Coturnix japonica: one gene and its partners. The protein of the gene in region 2 purifies or fractionates together with the protein of the main gene of each other region. This does not show direct contact. Links are inferred from orthologs where the notes say so. Each region holds a gene or a part of one and is shown on either strand. Other genes may lie near its edges.

Region 1 (7,863 bases), on a different chromosome or scaffold from region 2:
TCTGAAGAAACAGTGCACGATGCTGAAGGTACTTTGCTTTAATGTTTTTCTGGTTAGGCATTTCCCTGCGGTAGCAAATCACTTTGAGAACGGAGTTCTCTACGGTCTTATATCACCTTCTTAAATAAAACGGAGATAGAGCGAAGTGCAGAGAAAGCAGTTGATGAGAGATTTAGAACAACTGTTAAATAATTTTGAAGTAATTGCATAAGATGACCAGAATAGTTGACATTTCTCTGACGCTTTAAATATCTTTTTCAGCCTGGCTCAGTATAACCAGAGGAGATACTTCCATCTACAGTCTTCCTGGAGCTCACTTTTATCTGCTGGAACCTGCTAATGAAATTTTTTTGATAAAACACATAACCAAGTGTATAGAAAATGCTGCTCTATGAGTATTTCCCTCTATTTTAATAGCAGGTGTAAGGTTATTCTACCGCACTTAATCTTTAAGTCATTTTTTCTGCCGAATTGCATTGTTACCACTAAAAGTTACTCTGTTCCTGCAGAAGATCACTGTAATCCTTTAAAAGGGTTTAAAGAGTTGTTCTGATTTTTGAAACCAAACTCCAGCTTTGTGTCTTACAAATAAAACAGTTTTCATCTTTTCTCTCTCTTCTCATTCAGCAAGTGCATAAACCCCTCACTTTATTCAACATCAGCTGCAAAAAGGGACAGCTAATATAAGTTATTTTACCTTAAGAGCGTCTCTGTGTGTACTGCAAAAAATACTAAATATGATTTCATACCAAAAGAATATCCACGACTCTTACAGAAGCATTTATTTCATAGGCTCAGACTTGATTAGAGTTAAGTTGCAGTCTAAAAATACAGTATGCATGTGAACACCTTTCGCAGTGGCTCACGCGTTAATTACTGTTAGATTCCACAATAACCAGTTAGTTAGAAACTGCATTTTCCCCTGCAGAGTTAGTCCATTAACCACTGAGAAGACCCACAGTGCGATGTCCAAGTATTCTAAATCCCATATTTTTCAATCATTGCTTTTGCTTTAGAAATATAGGCAGTCATGGCATCCTCCTTCGACATACCTGCAAAGAAAAGGAGGAGTCATTATCTTTTCTTATTTGACATCCTATTGAAGTTATTACATGAGGCAAATTTAATTGCTGTAACACCTCTTTTCAGGTTCCACGCCTCCCATTTGGCTTTGCCTTTCACATCTAACATTCCTGGACATTCTGCAAAAATAAATGCATACCATCATTAATTATCATGCAGATTTATAAAACATTTTCTTGTTTTCAAGATATGGGGCAAACTGGATGTATATATGGGAACAGAAATACCAATATTAATATCTCCAACAGTAGCTTGTTTGTAGAATCCATAGAGTTCCTTCAGTTCTTCATCAGTTGGTCTTGTCTTCAGTTTTTTTACATCTTCTGCAGCCCCATCAAAGTCAGCCTAATGCAAGAAGAATATGTAAAGTATGAATTTGCCTCTGAAGGGGCGTGCTTCAAACATTTATTATAGCAAGCACAGCAGGTCACTAGATGGCTTCTATTACTTGTATATTCAGTGGTAAGCCTAGGATTTTCCCACGAACAAGATTTAATAAAACCTTTAATAAACTGATGTCAGCTCAGGCATTCAAGGCCTAAGATTTTAGTTAGCCCTGCATAGGTCAGGCAGGGGGACTTGTTGGTCTTGTAGGTCCCTTCCAAGTGAACCACTCCATTCTAAAACAAGTATTTCATTCTTAATCCCAACACCAGTAGATGCAACATACCTGACCCTGCAAATCAGCGACTTACACCACCAGCACCTCTTTGCATTACCCATACATGTACAAACAGCAGCACTCATGCTCGGTCACCAGCACGAGGAAGAGCTGGCATCAATATCAACACACAATCGAGGTGCCACAACTGACTGAAGACTGCATAAGTTTTATCTTCATCTTTACACTGTGGCCATTGCTGTGCGTAAGGCCCTGACCAGGTGGAGTAGAAGGACTGTTCAAGTGATGGAAACCTCCCATGTGCAGAGCTGTTTTCCAAACTAACGTCATAAAAAAGAATGAGCTGGAAGCATTAGGCTTGTACAGACAAGTGATAAATAAAACCAAACCAAATACAAAACCCAACTCACAGTAAGGATGCCGTTATTAGCTTCTTATTTTTCTATCCTTTTATTCTATTTATGAGAAATAGCACAAACCGCTGTTTCAAAAACATGCAATGCACACCTTGGGCAGCAATAAGTGCACGGAAATGGAATTTCCACCTCAAACATTCTTTTCTTCATCTCCCTCAATCCAACCCTTGTGCGCGGATTTTGCTTAGGATTTGCTTGCTTACACAACACGCTTAGGAGCAGCTGCAGAATATAATATCCTTTAATCACGAGCTGATGGAATTTCCCTCTCACTCCTCAAATCAAAAGCAGAAGCGTGTCTACAGTTGACATATACATATGCAGACGTAGATTTACACACGTGCATTAAAGCTAAATGCAGAAATCACAGAATCACAGAATGACCCGGGTTGGAAGGGACCTCAAGGATCATGTAGTTCCAACCCCCCTGCCTGGCAGGGCCACCAAACATACACCTTTACTAGATCAGGTTGCCCAGGGCCCTGTCCAACCTGGTCTTGAACACCTCCAAGGACGGGGCATCCACAACCTCCCAGTCACCAGACTTTATTTTCTAGCAGGAATTCGAGGCAGAACACAGCAAAATTAAACAAAAGCTGCTGTTCCGCTCGGGACTTGGCAGCCCCGGCCCATGGAGGGCGCGGGGTCAGCAGAACAACGAACCCTCTGTGCTGCGGCTCCAAGCGCTGAGCTGCGGCCAACGCGCCCCGCGACGGGGCCTCGCATACACGGAGCGAGGCGAGGCAGCATGGAAACGAAGGCAACAGAAAGGGCTGGAGGGTCTTAAAGCCAAAGGGAGAACGGAAAACCCCTTAAACAGCCGAACCAGTCCTGGGCATTTAAAGGTGGCGCAGAGGCGGAGCGCTGGAAGGCAGCGACGAAGGTGATTTCTCCAGGAGCCGCCGATACGGACAGAGGGAGGCAGCGTCCTTCCTGCCAAACCTCACTCAAAACGCAGCGCCCCAAAGACACGCACGCTCTACAAACTCCCTTAGAAACGCACGTTTCCCACAGACGCCCGTAGCGCAGCTCCCATCGATAACCCACCCGAGCAGCGGGTGCCGACACACCGCGCGGACACACCGTAACGCGCCGCTCCGCACCCCGAGCCGCAGTGCCACCGCCCGCCCCGCTCACCTGCAGGGCCATGGCCGGGCGGACACGCGCGGTCCGGTGTCGCTCCCGCAGCGCGATGCAGAGCGGGCAGCCGCCTCCCCTCGGGTCCCGCTGCCGTCACGGGGCGCTGAGCCGCTCGGGGCCGGGTTGGACGGGCCGTGGGCCAGCTGTGCTGGTGGGGGGCGGCCCTGCCCCTGGGGGTGGGGGGGCTCTGACGCCTCCTCCAACCCAAAGCATCCCGCAGCCCCGAGCCATCCGCATCACCGCCTCGCAGAGATGCGCTACAGCACCGTGACAGGATCCGAAGGGGCAGCAGCTCCCTCGCACCGCGGCTGCCCCCGCCCGGCGGCCCCGCAGCACGGCGGCGGATGGGGCGGAGCGGGACGGGGCGGGTTCGAGCTGCCGGCGTGGATCGGGCGGTACTGGCGGTGCCGGAGCGCTGGGCCCGGTGGTAGCGCGGCGTGGAGGCCGCGCTGAGCCGAGCGGCAGCTCCATCTCCATCTCCGTCCGTCCGGCCTGTTGTCAGGGCGCTGTGGTGGCTCCTGCCTTTAACTGCGTTGTCCTGGTCGGGAGCCGGCGGGGCCTTCCACGAGGCGTTTGGAAACCGGAGTGTTGGAATGGAGGTAAATGTTGGAATTGTTCGCGTTTCTCAGCTCCTCTGCTGGCAGCGGCGGGTCCTGCGGCTGATCGGCCTGGAAGAAGTTGGGTTTTGCTTGTTGTGCCCCGTCAGTTTGATTCCTGTGCCTACACGATTGTTTTCCTCAGTAGCCTCCATCTTGAAAAGACAGACGCGGGCTGCTTCAGCGTGTGCTCTCACATACACAACATACACAACAAAGGTGTTCTTTTAAAACCAAGGTAGTCTGTTATCAGCATGCAGGGAATTGATGTGATATAAATGGTGCCTTATAAATATCTAAAGGTTGCCACTGAAGTAATGTTTGTAATATTTCTACTTATGGAAGGAGGGGATCTAAGGAGAGCCGTGTCTGTTCCTCCTGAGTTGGCACACAAGTTCTCATCACGTTCTGTTGGCTGTGCAATGTAAAGCAGGAGATGCTGAACAGTAACCCAGGTTTGAGTATGGGGACTTAGTGAGTGGGCAGGGCTGGTAATCAGAGCATGCCTTCACTTGGACTGGATAGAGCAGAACTGGAACAGTGACCCTTTCTTTGCACCACTTTGATTTTTTCATAACCCTAAAGGCACGGCCTAGTTGATGCAGGAGTCAAAGAACCCTTCTGAATGTTCCATGGCCTGCAGAGGATTGCTTTCCTCCACAGAAATGTGCTCTGCAGCCTTCTGTCATACCTTCTAAATGCAGATAAATGTAAGACATAGATAAGTGAGAAAAAACACATGAAAATTAAAAAAACCCACAACTTTATCCCAAATGAATTCAGGAACTTGGAGATTGTTTCATGCTGCGATTCTGCAGCTTTATCACATCAGGATAGTTCTAAAATGGAGCTGTGCAGCAATGAAAACTTGTCTTTCACAACCTGAGCTTTATTATTAACATTATCTGTGGGACTTCCTGCTACTTCCATTCAGTTTCAGCTTCAGAAAGGTTTCCCATCACTGGCATTGCCTTGCTGGAAAAAAGCAAGCAACCTGTGCCCTGCTGGAGGATTATTAAGCACTGATATATATATAGCACTGAGCTGCTATAAAGGTGATTCCTGCCAGTATTGCTTTGAGCTGCTTTTTTCCCCCATTCCCAAGAGGAGCCTCTTGTAACAAAGTCCACAGCAGACAGTGCAGGATTTGAACGACTCTCTGCCTTTTTCTTCCCTCCACAGCTAGGTGGCGAAACAGAACAGAACCTGAGGACGCCTGTCATTCCACAAGGGACGGCGTCGCTTCGTAAAGCAAAGAAAACCACTGTAAAAACGTGTCTAGATAACCCCTTTGTTTTCGAATGGAAAGCCATAGATGGAGATGGTATGCATTTCATATTGCAGACCTTAGAAGAAAAGATTAAACGTATCGGACTTAAAAAGATAGAGACTCCAAGAAAGAAAAAACGTTCTACAAAAAACCAAGTGGAAAGCAAGTGTGATGGTAGCAACAGCGAACTCCCTGCTGAAAAAGAAACTGAAGGCCATCGACAAGCACTGGGATGGACTGACGTGGGCATCAGGAGGCAGCTTGCTATTGGAATTAATGAAGTTACAAAAGCGTTGGAGAAAAACGAGCTGCTTCTCTTGTTGGTGTGCAAATCTGCCAAACCTGCCATGATCACATCCCATCTCATCCAGCTGAGCGCGAGTCGAGCCACGCCAGCAGGCCAGGTTCCCCGCCTCAGTGAAACGGTAGCACCGCTTCTTGGCTTAACATCCATTTTAGCGCTCGGCTTCAAAAGGCAGTCTGATAAGTTCACTGACGTAGTAGAAGCGATAATTCCAAAGATACCTGCTTTGGAAGTGCCGTGGTTTCAGTTCCAAACAGAAGGATCTGCTGCATGTGCGGAGTTGTCAGAAATTGATGAAGCTGAGCAGCTTGCAGAGACGCCGGAGGAGGAGCTCTCAAGCCAGAAGCGGAAGCGTTCAGAAAGCAATCAGCTCCATCTCTCACATGTAATTTTGCAGCCTTTGAAAATCAAGAAAGTTGTTCCAAATCCAAATAAGATAAAGAAGCCACCTCGCAGAAAGAAAAAAGCTTTTTCAGCATGACTGATTTTAGTTCAGTTCTTCAGAGCACTGTGATTGTTTTTTACTGCCTATGGAGTACAGCTGTAACTGAACTACTTTGTTCTGCTTTAGCAGTGTAAAGCAGTTAACTCAGGTTAACTCATGTATGATGCATCCAGGTGAGGTTCTGTCTGCTTTAATAAAGAATGTGGCTCCAAGTTGTGTGTGAGCCTCTATCTGGAGATAAATATTTCATTTGCAGTTGGAGATCACAAAGTTGAGACTGTTAATGAACGTCTTGAAGTAATGTGAGGATAACAAGCGCATCTTTAGAATTAATACTAAGTGCTAAGCAAACTTTGTATGTTTTTTTTACATGTGAACATGCTTTAGACAGAACTGATTGAAATTAATGTCATTACACATAAAAAAAAAATAATACCAAAACTGAAAGTTTATTTAAACAAGGTCCATGCCAGTATAACTTTTAAAGCTGGTTCAATGCTTGTTTCAAGTAAACAGCTGTAACAGCACAGGCAGACTTTCCTTTCTGAGCTCTTGTCCTTTTCTCTGCTGAACAATAAGCTTGTTTTGGTCAAGAATGTACGCAGGCTTGGACTCCAACTCTACCTGCTGCCTGATACGCTGAAGGAAAAGTGTTATTTTCATACATGGAACAAAATACTGCTGCATTTTGGAAAAACAAACCCCTATATGCAAACACATGTATCCCATGAGAAAACATGAACTAATCTACGCTCGGTTTCTAAATGGAGTCTAAAATTATCATCCAGGAAGTTCAGAGATGCCGAGTACCGCTGAATGTAAAGTAGCAGGTGACAGCTATAGTCACTACAACAGTCTAAAAGTCTTTATAGAGTTTCCTTTAATTTTACTGATGACTGTGAACAGTTTCTTAATGAAACTGTTTTGTAGGCAGGAAATAAATAGCGCTGCAATTCAAACTGCAATCAAAACGGATAGCGCAGGAGTTGATTTGGCACTCTGCAGCTAATAGTCAGCACTGCAGTACTGGAAAAGAGCTGAGTTACTTTGCTGTTCCTCAGGGATGGAATTTACACCCTGTAGGTTTCAGGGCTCTGCTAACGTAGTCTTCGCTGCTATCAGCCAGTTTGGATTTATTGAGAAGTGACTTAAATTCATGGTTGTGACTATGAAGGGAGGCAGTAGCGATGATTCTGTAGTCACGATGCTCCCTGTAAACAAAGCAGACATTCGATGCCAAAATGTTGCCCTTCCTTGCTGAGGGTGGCAAGGAGATTGTTTTATTGTGCCTTGCTTCATAGTCCTTCCCAGAGGTCATTTACTTTGGCTTTTTAGATGCATAAAATAGCGAAGGCGTGCTAGAACCTAGCATAATTAATTCCCATGCTGGCTAATTGTAACATCTAGCTCTTAGTCTTTACAGAAAGCATGAGGATTAGGCTTTGGTAAAGAACATAAGCACAGCAATTGCTTATCAAGCACCCTGCTGCCTGTCCAGGTCTACAGCTCTCCCAAAGGATTTGGGTCCTTTCCACAGATGCAAAGTTACTTAACAAACTGCAGATGTTTCTAAAGACTTGTGGGAAACGGAGTAGAGCCTTTCCAATGCCTTCAAATTTGCCAATTTTGGTGAAACCATCCGTTAGTTTTTTGCAGTTTTACCTGGTAGCCATTCTTATCAAGCCTAATGCACGTGAAGGTTCAACACCCGAAACAGCACTAGAGCCTCTGTCAGAGCTGACAGCAGCACCCACACCAATGCCCTGCTTAGGAAGTGAAGGTGGGCTGCCATAATTTCCACCAGGACACCTTTGAGACTCACATTCTCTTGAAGCTATGGTACTTGAGCAAAGCACTGGAGGTAAGGAGCATGGCTGGCTGTAAGGGCTGAGCACTTGACAGGGACAGACCTTTTTGCACTGAACAGCTATTAAGCGATGTTTTTGTGAAGGGGCTTCTCTAGGAATTGCCCCAGCTTAGGCTCAGC
Region 2 (7,851 bases):
AATTTCCTGGGATTTCAGCCCAGATCCCCACGCTGCAGCCCGGCTGATGGGGCAGGGGCTGCCCTACCCTGGGAACGCTCTCCCAGTGCCACCAGCAGCACAGCGGGCTCCTGTGCCCTACAGAGAGATGCACTGGATGATGTAATGTATCTTTGGCCAAAACTTACCATTGGGAAAGTGCACAATCAACACAACCACACCGTATCACACAGACCTGCAGAGTTCAACAACCATTTCCTAGGAAAAAAAAGGTATGAAATTCCCCCAAAGCCTTCTTCCACAGATAAATTTACTGTGATGTAAAACAGGCTGGTGTACGTGAAAACTGGAGCCATGTATGCTGCAAGAAGCTGCAAACAGCCACATTTTCTCCAAAGACAAAGCAATTTTTGACTCCTAATACTTGATAGAGCTGGGTTCTGCCCCGTGTAGGAGCGGGTCTGGAGCTCTCAGCAGGCAGCCCTGCAGCAGGACGGCTCGCTCTCGGTGCTGGGCTGCCCTCTGGTGAGGAGCAGAGGAGTGCTGAGAAGCAGGCAGGAGTTAAGCTGGCTGAACACTCACTGCTTCAGCACTGCCAGGGGCTGGGAAATGTATTAACAACTTGGTATTTGGGTAAGGGAAATCAGATCGGAGCGTTTAAAGCGGCAATTATTTTCACCAGTATACCTGTCCCAAGGGACCAAATGTGACTGCTAATACAATTTGGCCAAGAGGAACAAACTGCATTGATCTTAAGAACTCCAGTGCTGGCTGAGATGCTCTTTCTGGTGAATTACAGTATCTGTTTCTTGTATCAGCTGCAATCAGGAAAAGCAGTCCGTGATTACAGCCCAGTCACCTCCTATGCACATCACTTCACTTCTGCTCATCTCCAGCTTCAGTTCACAATTACTCTTGAACAACAAACAAACAAAGCAACACCACAATCATCTCTTCTTACATCATACAAACACCTCTGTTTTCTGCAGGTGGATACTCTGCACCTCACTTGTAGCTCTCTGTGCTTCCCATCACTGAAATTCCCCCAGCACATTGCTGTTACCTGCCTTGGCCTGCACTCGTTTCTCCCATCACCCACTGTAACTCAACGCACCGACAGCCGAAGCAACATGGCCCCCTGCTGTACACATGTATGGTGGTTCATTGTTGGGTGTTCACAAATACATAGATACATAGACTAAAAAAGCAATAAATATAGCCATACACAGACTTAATGGGATAAGAAATACCAATGCTAGCACCTGCAAAGGGGAATAAGTAATATATATTAGGGGTTTATATCACCATAAACTTGTATTGTGCTTGCAAGCTGATTTACTTGAAAAAGTAAAAAGCTTCAAAGGCCTGAGACTAAGACACTTCTGACACTAAGTGAGGTGGAGACATCCAGAAACATGCATTAGAATTATCTGCACTTCTGTTTACATATTTCTGCATTGATTTTATTCCAAATTCCCTTTTTACTCATCTTCCCTCATTTCTCTGAGCCTTCTCTTCCTTTCTGATCCATAAAATATTTCCACGTATTCTTTTTCCTCCTGCTCTTTTTCATGTTTATTTGATTGAGTCCCACTCCCAGCTCAGAGCCCTTTCCCTGGAACACACACTAACAAGCTGACCCAGCTCTATCAGACACTGTCTCTGAAGATAGATTGGGAAATGAAGATGTAGAGCTGTTGGAAGAGACTGGCTTCCCCAGGCACCTGTTTAGCCTGGATCATTGGATTTACTACACTGGCATCACCAACACCGATTTGACTATTAATCCCTTAAGTGCCTTAGGAACTGCAGCATAAATCCAGCCAAGGAGCACTCATACGGCCCTGAAGACCCATAGCGTTCATCCTGGCACTCCATTCATGAAAACTGATCTTTTCTTAAATAGCAATGACAACTCAAGGAGTCCCTGCTTTGTAAAAACAAGGCACCTGTTTGCTGTGGCAACATCCTACACTGCCAAGAGACCTTTCATACACGCTGTATGGGAACTGTTGAGTCCCAGCCTGAATCACTGGGCACCTGAGAAAGGACCTGCTCAGCCCTGAGAGCACAAGTGGAGGCAATTCTCTTTGTGAGTGGAAGGGTGGAGCCTGGCTGCACCTCTTACACCTCATTTAAGGGCTGACTGCCACCAGGGAAGGTTCTCTGGTTGGAGATCCCTCCTTGGTGAAGCCTGTGACCTTAATCTTCAGAGATGGGTGAGCAGACCTTTATCCTTCCTTTTTAACACCATTCTGTTGTATTAGTCCCTTTATTATTACAGCTCTTGTATCACCTTTCCATCACATTGATCTTTCTGGTTGTTACACAAACCAACCAGTGCTTGTGCTTATTAATCTGAAGGGACTGGCCTTTTTTTCTCTACAAATACACATTTATCTGCAGTTTTGTCCCTTGTTACACACTGCTTTAGTACCTCTGTGCTCCACAGCAGCACTCAACACAATGCTCACATTTCCTATGCTCTGTCATGGCAGCTCTGTCAGCCTCCTTCCCCAGGGGGCACTTAGTTACACGTGTGGCTGATACCCACCCCGTGATAGGAATACAAACACCTCTATTTTAATGTGAGCTTGGACTTGCTAAGCTGAGGAACTTGTGGTACTGTTTCCAGAGCACCTCTGTGCCAAGAGGTGTGGGAGTGCAGCAGGGCTGGAAGGGGCGAACCCCTCGGAAGAGCAGGAGATGCTGCGTGCACATGGATGTGTATCCTCGTACTAAACTGCCATGCTCAGGCCCAAAGTTCCTACTGCTGCAGGGGGCTGAGCTCGGGTTCCGTAGCCCCCACCCCGGCACACAGAGCGTTGGGAAGCGCTTGATAGAGCGGCACTGTCCTGCAGCTCCACCTGCCGCACTGGAGGGGAAGGGGGGGATGCAGCCAGGCCCGCCCCGGTCGCACACACGTCACGGCTGCGCCGGAGCATCGAGATGGAGGGTGAGTACAGGGATGGGACGGGACGGGAGGAGGATGAGGATGAGGAGGTAGATGAAGGGCCGGCTGAGCCCGCTGTCTGCCCGCAGGTGTGTTGTACAGCGGGCTGCCCCGCGAGGCGGCGAAGGAGCTATGCCTACAGGTACCGCTCCCATGTACCCCCACAGCCTCTGCCCAGCGCTGCCTCAGCTCGGCGGGCAGCCGGGCTCTAATTTAATTAAAGTCTGTTTTTAAACACCTTTAGCCCCAAGGGTCAGAGGAGGCCAGAGCGTTTGTGAGCGCCTTCCTGAAGCGCAGCATGCCCAAGAAGAAGGACGAAGCCATCCAGGATGTGCTAACGCGGAAGGCCGTGGTTCTGGAGCACCACTGCAGGAGGAGGAAGAAGCCAAAGAGAAGGAAAACAAAAACCTTCACAGCCAAACAGAGGAGGGAGCTGGGGCTGTTTGATATCGAGCCTGAGCAGCAGAGGTATGAGAGTGAGTTTGTGTGCTCTGTGGCACTAAACCACAGCACAGCTATAACCTGGGCTGCCTGTTGGATGAGCTCATCCCTGACCAGTTCTTTCCTAAGTGCTGCCACCTGTGACTTCAATTCTAATCCCCAGAATGGCTGCAACCAGTGAATCTCCATTTTGCATTATGTTCCTTGACCCAGGACATGCTGAGTAAGGCCAGTGCTGCTCCTAAAAGGAAGCAAGGGGGAGAAAGAGGAGCAGAAAGCTCTTAAACACATCCCTCCCCTTGGGTTTGTTCGGAGCATATTCAGCTTTACTTGGAGTGGTTTACTAAGTGATCTGTGCAGCTGATAACATGTGTAATTCTTAGTTTTAACTCTGCTTACTAAGACAATCTACAATATAATATATTATAATATATATAATTAAGTTATTGTAAAATATTTGCCTTCTAACTGCAGATATGAACTATTTCTACCACTACATGAACTCTGGAAGCAATACATCAGAGACCTGTGTTATGGACTTAAACCAGATGCGTAAGTTTAGCTAATCTAACCACCACCATTTTTTAAGGCATTTCAAGTAGTAATTTGATTAAACTTAAATGTCAATTATTTAATAAGGATATATGCTATTTCTGTAAGCTTTGACCAGTATTTCAATAGGCACAGTCACACCTTATAAACATGCTTTTCCATGTATTTTTTTCCCCTCTCTGATCCTACCCTTTTCTTCAAGGCAACCACAGATGGTGCAGAGCAAACTGCTGAAAGCTGACCTCCATGGAGCTGTTGTTACAGGTATTGTTTGCTTTATTCTGCAGTTATCTGAGATTTGCTGTACTTTCTTATGTTTCAGGTGCTCATTGAATTCCTTTCAGTATCAACTCTAGGATAATGTAATTGTGTTGATGGATTCTTTCTCCATTTACCAGTGCTGCTTAACTTTTCAACTGCTCTACCAGTTATCACTATAATTACTTCAGACTATTATCTCAGACTTCTAAAATGATGAGGCAATAATGGAACAGCAAACCAGCTGCACCTGAATTTATTCTAACACATTCCTATTCTTGTTCTTTCAGTCACAAAATCAAAGTGTCCATCTTATGTTGGGATAACGGGAATAATCCTACAGGAATTCAAACATGTCTTCAAGATTATTACTAAAGACAACAAACTAAAAGGTATGGCAAATGTTTTTCAGTGCTTGTTATAATGTGAGTTACTGAGAATCGATCATATTATTATACTTCTGAGTAAATGTATGAGCACATACATACATTGTTCTTTACCACTGCTTGTAATTCTTTGCATAGTGGCAGAAGTTCATGTCTTTATCTGACATGTAAAAACCCAATAATGTACCTTAGAAGTAATTTAAAAACATATTTCCAGTGATTTATAACATGATTATGCACATGGTTCATTCATCTGATTCACTGTAGATCGTTCTCTGCAACTCTTACTGCACACTTGTGAACAAGGACTGAATTCTGTCAGTTTTGCCCTTAAATGTACAGGCTGTATTGAGTGTATTTCTCACACTGCAGCATTAAACCTTGACATGTTATGAACCTGAAGCCTGCATGTGAATAGTATTCCCTGGTACACCAGTATCTATGCATAATGCTACTTCTCCATTTTTCAGTTGTTCCCAAAATTAACAACGTATTCAGTGTGGAGACTGATGGATTCATTTCCTACATCTATGGAAGCAAGTTCCAGCTTCGAGCAAGTGAGCGGTCTGCAAAGAAGTTCAAGCTGAAAGGAACTATTGACCTATGATTTCATAGCAAATCAAAAGGAAGTTTAATTAAGATGTCTGCTGTTCTCCTTCAGTTTACAAAACAGGTTTTCTGGCAGACTGAAAGACAGAGTTAACTAGCTGAGATTTTTCTGAAGTGTTTCTTCATACTGAAGAATGACTGGTTTCATCTTTAAAGCAGTCTGTCAAACTGCTGAAGTCTTAGTTGTATCTTTTACTTGTGTGTAATGTTCTGCCTTTTATTAAACTTGTGATTAGTACTGATTACCTGGTTTTTGTTTCTATTTTGACTGTATATTTGTTCAGTGAATGTTTTATCTTATAACTTGCTTACAGAGCCTGCTTCGTTCAGAAGGCAGCAATAACACCTGTCACTGTGTAAGGAGACTGCAGCTGGTAACTGCTTTTATGTGATTGCTCCTGGATCAATCATTGCTGCCTGTTCAGCTTGTATCCATGCTAGACTGAAAAACCTTATAATGAAAGCATTGGGCAAAAATGTCTTTCATGTTTACTGAGTCAGCAACAGAGGTGATTTATGCTGCAAAAGGTATCATGTCCTGGCAGGTCAATGAGAACTCCTATGAGTATCAAGAATGCTTTCTGGATTGTTTTCCGCTAAACCAGGGAATGTTTTAGTATCTGACTTCCAAGGACTGATAAATACCAAGGTCAGTAACTTTCTTATCTTAGTCTGGAACTATTTATGCTTTTTTTTCCCTAGAACTACCTACCCAAATGGAAAAATACATTGTTTGGGGTAATGGTTAAAATGCAAATGCACAAGAAGTGGAGGTGAAACCTCTAACTGAGCACATGCATTTAAACAAGCAAGACATGTCTTAAACCACAGGTGCTTCAATCAGGACAGTGCCTCACAGGTGAGAAATCATGATTCTTTCTGGGCTTGTAGCTACTTGCAATCACTAGACAAGGACTTGGATTCTGTTCACGAGTACTTTAAAGTTAACAGGCACTTAGTCGAGCTCTGAAGTAGTTACATCAAGGTATCTCCCTTTAAGCATAATTCCTCCCAAAGTTCTTTGAAATCCATTAGATTTCTCTGAGAATCCACAAGGAAATATCAACAAATTGGCAGAAAGCTTAAGTGACAGTAGAAACTTTCTCTGCAGGACAAAGGCTTCATTTTCATTTTGCTTATAGCTATCAGTGTAACATCTAATTAAGACATCTGTTAAATGCCTATAATATTAAATTAATAGAGGGAAGCTAATGGAACTTTATTGGCGTAGTCCTGTTAATTAAAGACCTTTAATAGATGTCTTAACTAGGCATCATTAATGGCAATGACACACAAATTGGAATTAGGCACGATCCCATTTCATTGTGCTGCAGAGGACATACTATATTCTGCCATACAGACACACAGATGAGCACAACAGCATTTTCCATAGCTATTGCTATTTACACTTTTCTACATTTTACTTCAGTGGCAGGAAGATGTGCTGCTTAGCAGCCCCTTTCAGTAAATAACAGTAAGGAAATAATTATTTACAGTGAATAGTGCTGGAGAGGTGTTCAGAGGTCTCTGAGGTACTTAGATGCTAGCAGCACAGATGACAAATGAAGCCTAACAAGAGATTGAACAGCCAAAGCATTCAAACTACCTTTACTGCTGTTGCTAAATCACCTGAAGAGGCATTTTTACCTCATCGAGGTGTTCCAAACATCCAAATGTAGGTTTTTTTTAATAAGAAGTTCCAGTTCCTTACTGTTCCTAATGCAGCATCTCCCACCCCACAGGAGGGCTAATCCCTGGCTCCTGCTATTTGTAATGCTCCCTCACCACACAGTAAGATTTCCATAATTAATTTCTCATTAAATCTGCAGTGATCTTACCTTGGGATGCGAGTATAAGGCTTCAGCGACACATCAGCTCTTCTTTTTAGCACCATCATCCCTGCAACCTTCTCTAGATGAAACCCCAGCAGAGAATGAGGTGCCCAGTGCCCACCAGCACTATGTAACCAGCCTTCTGCACAGCACAGCTGAGGCCAGCATGCAACAATTGCTCTCCTAGGCAACTGGTTCTCTACTGTGACAAACACCTGAGTGTTCCCCTTACCCAGCTGCACTGATTGCCTCTTGGCTCTGAAGGTCAGCACAGGGAGCCTTGGTGAGCAATAGTTGACCTAAGTTAACGGATGTTCAACTTCATGTGTTTTCTTAAACAGAAAGAAAAACTGGATTTACAAATCATTTCATCCCTCAGTGGTGACCAAACTATGGCCTTACGGACCTTGCCAAGAAACAGAATTCCAGATTGTATGGCAACAATGAGCAGTTCCATGGAATTTTACAGAGTTTTGATCCATCTTTCCCCTCTGTTAATTCTGTCATTTCTATTCCGAGCTACATTTCCCTGTGTTTGATGAATATGTATTGCTTTGGTAAGACAGAAACCTCCCTCAGAGTGCTGCTTTAAATTAACAAATGTGAATGCATGGGAGCAGGCACCCCCTGCAGCTGAGCTACACCTGGGCTGCAGAGCCAGCAGCACCCCGTGCTCTGTCTACAGGCCATTCTGACACCTGGGCTGCACAGACAGCCATTTGTTTCCAACCAAGCCACTCACTGTTTATTGTGTTAGGACCTATTCCACTAACTTGACCAACAGAACTGATTTAAAACGTGTAATTTTTCATCTCTGATACCGGCAGATCTGACAACCACC
Region 3 (7,236 bases), on a different chromosome or scaffold from region 2:
ATGGATATATGAATGCCCATGTTGTGTTTTAGAGCCCCCAGAGGCTTTAAATCGAGATCCCCCAGGGATCAGCTGCCCATAGGCAGCCATGCTGTGAGGGGATGGAGCCCTTCCTGGCAATAGACTGCTCGCTGTTAGCAGCCCAGCAGCTGGGTTAGCACAGCAGCAGCTTGGCTTCTCAGAGGGAGGCAGAGCCCTCAGGGCCCTCCATGCTTTGGTGGCTATCAGGGCCTGCAGCTGCTTGGCATTAAAGGCTTTCCACGGCTGAATGCAGCCTGGCTTTCCCAAAGGGAATCCCTGCTGCCAGGCTGTCTTCAGAGCATCAGTGAGCCCGAGGTGGATGCTTGTGTTGGTGAGACCCATTGCATCCCCATCCCTAAACACACACCAGTGTGCTGCCCACAGCTGAGGCCACTGTGAGGCTGTGCCACTATCCCTATAGCTCACAAAATGACCCCCAGATTACAATTCGTAGGCGCTTTGGGCTGTGCCTCCACAGCAGACAATCAGCCGCTCTGTTTTCACTCACAATACCCCCTTAGGACCCTGTGGAGCCAGATGCCATCCTGCTATTTATAAATGCTTCATATTCGGAGTTGCAGTCCGTTTTTATTCTGTTTTAACTATTTCTTCATGCAGGAAATCCTTGGTACGCAGCCAGCAATGCGAAGCATTTGTAATCCCCAGCCTCCTGTTGCCTCCAAATTGCCTGTGTACTGAATCAATTAACAGTCATTTTTGGACATTAACAAAATAATATGGTGAAATAAGTGGCTTTTTTTTCCCTCTCTCTTTTTCTCCTTGCCTTTCTCCTTGCTGGGGGCAACGTGAGCTGGCTGAAGGACTGTTAGTTCTCTAAAGTCTTCATGCTTAGATTGAGTTGCTTATTGAGTTCTGCCCCCAAAGTCCTGCTGGTGCTGGTTAGGAGACCAAAAACCCCTGGCTTTTACCAAGGCTGAGGCTTTGGGGTCCTGCTGGTTAGGAGATCAGAAATCCCTATCTGCGATCACTGAGGTAGAGTGTCATAACCCGGATTTCCCCATCTCGTTATGCACAGTTCTTCATTAACCTCGTTCAAGATGGAAACTGGTGCAAGATGCTGCTCTGAGGGCTTCTGCTGATCTACTTGTGGGGCTGAGGGCACGCTACAGCCTGTTCTGCAATGGCTTGTTGGCCTCAGACTGCATCGCATGCACAGCACCTGGCCAGCGCCGCTGAGCTGTGCATGGATTTGATTCTGGGGTCTGTTCGGTCCCCTCCAATTCTTATGCCAACCCCTCCTTTCTGGGAATGAAAGCCCCACAAAAATAAGAAAACAAATGGAAATTAATGTTCAATTACATGGTGGTAGATAAGTGAAATGAATCAATCTGTGGCAGGGCAGATAAGCACAAGCCTCCGGCCCAGAGGAGCAGCTGCCTGCTGAGACAGATAACAAGGTCATTGCCAAACAACCCACCCCCCTTTACTCCCCCTTCCTCTTCTTTCTCGCTCCCCTGGTCTCCTTCCATTCCCTCTCCCAGCCAAACAAAGCACTTTCCAAGCCAGCCTTTGGCAAAGCAGTGATGTCCGCTGACTCCATCCCAAGGCTGCGTTGTCTGGAGCCAACTGAATCTGTCCTGCTTGGGCAGGGGACCCAGGTGGATTTGGGTTCAGTTGGCCTCCCACAACCCATCTCTGCATTGCTTTGGTCCCCACGTGATGGCAAGGGGCTGACGTGGGGCAGATGGAGCTCCATGGGGGGCTTTGCCATGTCAGCTGGGGCCAGATGACTGCCAGGGCATGCAAAGAAGCTGGCCCTGATTCCTCATCCCCAAGAGGCAGGATTTGGCCAGGATCCCCTTGTTCTGCCTCAGCAGCAGCCACAGTCTCGCCCTCACTGTACCCATCTGTGCCATGGTCAGTGGCAAAGACGACCCCCACCCTCACCCCCCCCATTTCCCCATAGACATACTTCAATTATTTCTAAAGAGCTTTTATTTTCCATTGGTTTCCTTTTACCCATAGAAAAAGCGGGTGTTTCACTCCAAAGGGCTATTCTGGGGAGCCAGCCCATAGCGAATAATCCGCAGCCAAACCTACAAAGTTCCTCTTCATCCCAGCATCTGTCCATCAGCTTGTAGATGATCCACCTGATGCTCCCTGTTGTCTTCGTCATCATGCTTTCACCATGGCTGCAAACACCTCCGGGAGAGGAAAAACTTGAATATATGATGTGGGAAGAGGGGTTATTTCCATTCCTGTTCACTGGAGGGGCTGCTATTGAAATGAACAGCAGTGCTCCAGGGCTTGTTTCTTTGGCTCTCAGGCTGCAGCAGTTCTGAGAGAGGAAGGATCAGCTTGGGGTATTTCAGAGCAAAGCACAAAATAGCAACGATGCCACAGAGGAGAGGAAGGAGCAGAGACAAAGCAGGGAGCTGGGTGAGAGGGAGCAGGACCCATCTGCTTGTTTGTGCTATTCAGGATGAATCACAGGAGCCACGAGGCACGGAGCCCAGCATTAATAAACCTGACAGCTCCTCTCGGGGGTTAATTGCAATGAAGGTGTTACTCTGATGGGCTCTTTGCAGCTGGCTGAGACATCCCGATGCAGAGCGGAGGCATGCAGCTGCATTTCCCAATCTGGGGAGAATCCAAAGGATGCTTCAGCTCTATGGGAGTCCTGGAGGTCTGCTGTGCAGGGGGCTATTTAGCAGGGCTGACAGGAGGCACGAGTAGCTCCGCATCCCTACAAGTGCTCGCAGCACCAGGCAAAAGGGAGGAAAAGTTTGGAGAGGGGAGGTTTTCCCACAGACCTACACACTGCAGCCGCCCTTCATAAAATGGGGAGCCAGTGGGATACAAGGATGTGTTCTGCGTGGGGTCAGTAGCCCCCCCAGACCCTGCTGTGAGCATGTCATAGGGTCAGTAGTGGCCGTCCATCTGGCTGTCTGTTGTCCCCGAGCCCTGCGGGCTGCTGGCTCCCGCTACCTGCAGCTTCTTGGGCAGCAGTTCCTCACGGGCAGGCGGTGGGGGCCGCTTCAGCCCCTTGGCCGAGGAGCTCGTGGGGTCTTCTCCTGCCTCTCTGGGCTCAGGGGGTTGGTAGCCCGTCTGGTTGGGGTCCAGGGGGTCACGGGAGAGCAGGATGCAGATGGAAGGGACGTTCTTATGGACGGTCAGATTCTGTGCTGCAGTGCCAGGCAGCGGGTCCTGGTTCTCCCAGACCTCCAGCAAGGTTTTGTAGCGTACCTTGGTGACCTGGTGCAGACCCCCCAGCTTTCTCTTCATGATCTCCACGCAGGTGATGGTCTTGGTGACCGCTCTGCCGCAGCCGCTGAAGACAATCTGCCTGCTGCCCTTCAGCTCCATCTGAGCCATGGCGAAGCTCATCAGGTTCCTGATCTTGCTGCCCTCCTTCACTTTCATCTCCACCACACCTGGGGGTAAGTCAGGGAAGGGCAAGGGGCTGTCCTCCTCTGACGTCCTGACCTTTCGGAAGTTCTCCATCCTACACTGGGCAATGGGCTTGGCCGCCATCCCTCACCCCACACTTAGCCCCCGCTGCCTTCCTCCAGCTCCAACGTCACGTCCCCAGGACCCCCAGCCCCTTCCCCTCTCCTCGTCCTGGTGCTGGCTGTCCCCAGGGGAGGCCAGAGCTGTAGGATCCCCTGGGTGCCCCCGTTCGCTGCTGGCTGCAGCTCTCGGCAGTGCTCAGGCTCCTCTGTTCCCTCTGCAGCGCTTGCTTCTGCCGCTCTTTGCTTCATTCTGGACTTCAGCAGCCCCCAGAGCTGTTCTGTGTAATTAGCAGATCCTCCCCCTCTCCCTCCCCTCCCTCCCCTCCTTCTCCTCCTCCTCCTCCCCTCGCTCAGCCTCCCATCCCAGCACCCTGCTGCTGCTTCCATCCCTGGGTGGGCAGAGGGAGAAGCTCTCTCCTGGCTTTGTGATGCTCCCCAAGTCCTGCCCCCTTAAAGAGAACCTCGTCCCTTCTCTCAAGGACACCAAGCCGCCCGCAAACAGCAGCAGTTGTCCCCTGCTCCCCCCGCCCCAGCCTCCGGATCATTGCACAGTGGAAAGAGATGCCGAGTATTGCCTTGCTGCCAAATCTTATCGGCCTCTGGAGGACCTGGGATTATTTTCACCCCGAATAGGGCTTGCAAAATCCATAAATAAATGAATGGATCGGCCAGCCCCATCCCCGCTGCCCCAATGCAGCAAGAGTGGGTACCACTGTTGGGACAACCCCAAGAGGAGAAACTGAGGCAGAGCCAATGGCGTGGCTGAAACAGATTAAAGCCTCTGTGGCAAAACACTGCTTCTGAAAGATGCTAAAGCCCCTAGGAAAATAACAAGGAAGGATTTCAACAACCATTCACACAGCAGGGAGGAAAACTGCGCTGTGGGATCAAATCCTGCCACCCGTGGTCCATTTTATCGCAGCGTTCTGCGGCACTTAAAATGGAAATGAATCGTGTTATTAGCAGCTCCATCGCTAATTACCATCTGAAGCCATTCATTACCCTGTCACTGTGTGTTTGCTGGAGGACAACAGCAGTTATTCCAAGCTGAGGAGCAGCAGGATGGGAAAGGGACAAAAGGAGGGCTGAGGGGATAAAAGCACTACATGAAAAGTACAGGGAATCGGTTAAAACAGGAGAGAGAGATGGTGAAAGCTGGAGCAGCAGTAACGTGAGCCCCTGCCCTCCACCTGCCCTCGCTATATTTTCTTTCATCTGCTGAATGTGGGAGCAGTTCGGAAAGTTGAAGCATGCGATATGAGGAAAGTCTCCGTCCATCTCTGCGTCACATCGGGGTGGCTCAGGTCTCAGGTGCTCGTCACATTGCACGTGGGACAGCACCTATAACAGTGACATCCCTAAGCGAGACACTATGCATCTGGCTCCCCACTGAAACCCCTTTGTAAAGCCATAACACAACGAGCAAGAGGAATAATTGAGGGACCCCAGCCCCACAACCTTTGTATGGTCCCAAAGCCCTGTGTAAGCTCATATTTACAGCTTTCAGCTCTAATTTGGGATCTATTGTGAGCTGGTCTCCCATTTAGGGATAGCTAAGCTTGTTTCTGGTGCTACTCATATGGACCTCAATCTACGGGTTGACTGGAGAGCTGCTTAGCTATTGCTGGTCCTGGCTGCTGGGCTTACTTCATGGCTTGACCTTGAGAGTGTGGATCTACTAGAGATGTGCCAGTTGATCTGGGGTCTTGGTTGGGCTTGACCACTATCCTCAGCTCAGGTATGAATCTCTGGGTCATGGCTGGGCTGTCCCCCTTACTGTGCTAGTTATACTCTGACTAGGAGGAGAATATGCCCTTCTCAGTGTTGGTGCAGCAACCAAGTCTTGGCGATATGTTAATTCTGGTGCCGCCCTGATGCTATTGCCCTCCATACATATCACACTACATAGAGGGTCTCCTTGTTACATATGGATTTCACCATATCCATGACCTGCATAGGGTTGATCCTAATGCATACACAACTTAAACCCTATGGAGGTTCTCCCCCATATGGTGGCTGTTGAACTCTTGCCCATGGAGGATCTCCCTTGCCCTGTGTAGTGTCTCGAATCCATACGCCCCATGTGGAGCCTGACAAACTCTTGCCCCATAGAGGGTCTGCCTCAATCCATATGGAGCTTACCCTGCTCCATCCAGAGCTTCCCCTGACCCAAATAGAGCTATGAACTATTTCTCCATCCCCTACAGAAGGTCACCCAACCATATGGAATATGCCAAACTCCTTCATTTGGAGTCTCTCCTGCCCTGCTGCCCCCGTACCCCATAGGGGGTCTCCCACGACCTACAGCTCTCAGCCCGAGCTCTGCCTTCGGCCCCCTATAGGCCCCCGTCCCTATTCACTCCACGCTCGGCGGCGGCAGGACCCTGGACAGTTCCAACTTATCTCGCGAGATCCGGAGTGCTGCCCCGTTGGCGGGGCGGGCGGGTGACGGCGTAGTCTCGCGAGAGCGCGGCCGCTGCGGCAAGAGCGGCGCCGGGCGGCCGCCGCCACCCGCGACGCGACGCGTGGGAGCGGTGCTGTGCGTGGGGACCCGCTCGTGACGGCCAAGGGGCTGATGGGCGGGGGGGGGGGTGTCGTGCAGCACGGGGAGGGCACCGGGAGGGCACGGGGAGGCCGCTGGAGCCCAGTGGGGAACGCGCCGCGTGGGTGTCCCTTCGCTTTCCGTGGGTTTTCGCCTCTCGGTGAGGCCATTTCCTTGCGGGGATGGAGCTGAGGGAGCCCCGCTGCTGTGCGTGGGCCGAACCACGCGGCTGGAGGCTGTGCTAATCGGCAGGGTGCTAAGCGGGGAGGGAGCCGGGATTGAGCCAGGTGTCCGCGCTAAGTCGGGCCCTGTGCTGAGCCCGAAGGGGGGAGGGGAGAGTTTGGGGAATGGGGGCAGCTGGGGAGCAGCCCCACTCCCCTCAGTGCCTCCATCTGTGTCCTCTGCCTTCCCTCCAGCTCTGACGCAGCTCTCGGCTGCTTTCCCTCATCTCTACAGAGCAAGGAGTTCTGACTGTGCCAGCATGGCAGGTACGGCTAATCTAGGTGGGGGGGGGGGTTGGGTTGTTTTGCACTCATCGCCCCTCATTAATGGGATTTCTTGTTGTAGAAAAGGTGAATAACTTCCCACCGCTCCCCAAGTTCATCCCCCTGAAGCCATGTTTCTACCAGGACTTTGACGCTGAGATCCCGCCGCAGCACCGCACCATGGCCAAGCGGCTCTACTACCTCTGGATGCGTGAGTCGGGGTTGGCTGTGTGCTCAACACGAGCCAAACAGGGGTGGTGTGCCTTGTCCCCTTCCAGACCTTCGTGCCCAAACCCACTGGGGATGGGGTAGGGCTGCAGCAACTCCCAGATTTCATAGAATGGAAGAATCAATAGAATTTGGTTTGGAAGAGACCTTAAAGATCATCCAGTTCCAACCCCTTTGCCATGAGCAGGGTTGCCAACCACTAAATCAGGCACTAGAACAGCTTTGGTGGAGGATTTGCCACCAGCGAAGGCACTCTGAGTGTCTTGACATCCAAGGGGCTTTTCTTGCAGACCTAAGCTCCTCACAGCCCCTTTGTTGGTTCCCAAATGCCCCACGGCCAAGTTGGTGACACGGACTGGATCCCTCCTGGAGTTTTGCCTGTTCTTTGCATGCTTCTGCGTGCCGTGCTCCATGCTAAGAGCCACTGCTCTTTTCTAACCCCTTCAGCTGCCCTGATCTCTCTAACATCCTCCGCATGCCTCCTGTC

What was found. Proteins that work in one complex are often made in the same cells at the same time.
Region 1: the proteins of POP4 (region 2) and RPP38 purify together in Homo sapiens (affinity purification with mass spectrometry; 4 studies listed by BioGRID and IntAct, counting the BioPlex papers as one, with this or other methods). This does not show direct contact. The link is inferred for Coturnix japonica from reciprocal best matches to the Homo sapiens genes POP4 and RPP38.
Region 3: the proteins of POP4 (region 2) and RPP25 purify together in Homo sapiens (affinity purification with mass spectrometry; 3 studies listed by BioGRID and IntAct, counting the BioPlex papers as one, with this or other methods). This does not show direct contact. The link is inferred for Coturnix japonica from reciprocal best matches to the Homo sapiens genes POP4 and RPP25.

Annotation. Positions count from the first base shown.
Region 1 is NC_029517.1:18,767,779-18,775,641, reverse strand, and holds RPP38 (ribonuclease P protein subunit p38), read left to right. Parts: upstream 1-3,604; 5' UTR 3,605-3,854; coding exon 3,855-3,860; intron 3,861-5,039; coding exon 5,040-5,912; 3' UTR 5,913-6,088; downstream 6,089-7,863. Other genes in the region: ACBD7 (acyl-CoA-binding domain-containing protein 7), read right to left, coding at 979-1,052, 1,140-1,202, 1,311-1,428, 3,259-3,270. UniProt on the Homo sapiens protein: Component of ribonuclease P, a ribonucleoprotein complex that generates mature tRNA molecules by cleaving their 5'-ends. Also a component of the MRP ribonuclease complex, which cleaves pre-rRNA sequences.
Region 2 is NC_029526.1:7,093,248-7,101,098, forward strand, and holds POP4 (ribonuclease P protein subunit p29), read left to right. Parts: upstream 1-2,810; 5' UTR 2,811-2,928; coding exon 2,929-2,935; intron 2,936-3,021; coding exon 3,022-3,074; intron 3,075-3,155; exon of another isoform or gene 3,156-3,176; coding exon 3,177-3,400; intron 3,401-3,847; coding exon 3,848-3,925; intron 3,926-4,127; coding exon 4,128-4,189; intron 4,190-4,473; coding exon 4,474-4,575; intron 4,576-5,039; coding exon 5,040-5,176; 3' UTR 5,177-5,421; downstream 5,422-7,851. UniProt on the Homo sapiens protein: Component of ribonuclease P, a ribonucleoprotein complex that generates mature tRNA molecules by cleaving their 5'-ends.
Region 3 is NC_029525.1:1,713,846-1,721,081, reverse strand, and holds RPP25 (ribonuclease P protein subunit p25), read right to left. Parts: upstream 3,792-7,236; 5' UTR 3,517-3,791; coding exon 2,905-3,516; 3' UTR 1,960-2,904; downstream 1-1,959. Other genes in the region: SCAMP5 (secretory carrier-associated membrane protein 5), read left to right, coding at 6,702-6,732. UniProt on the Homo sapiens protein: Component of ribonuclease P, a ribonucleoprotein complex that generates mature tRNA molecules by cleaving their 5'-ends. Also a component of the MRP ribonuclease complex, which cleaves pre-rRNA sequences.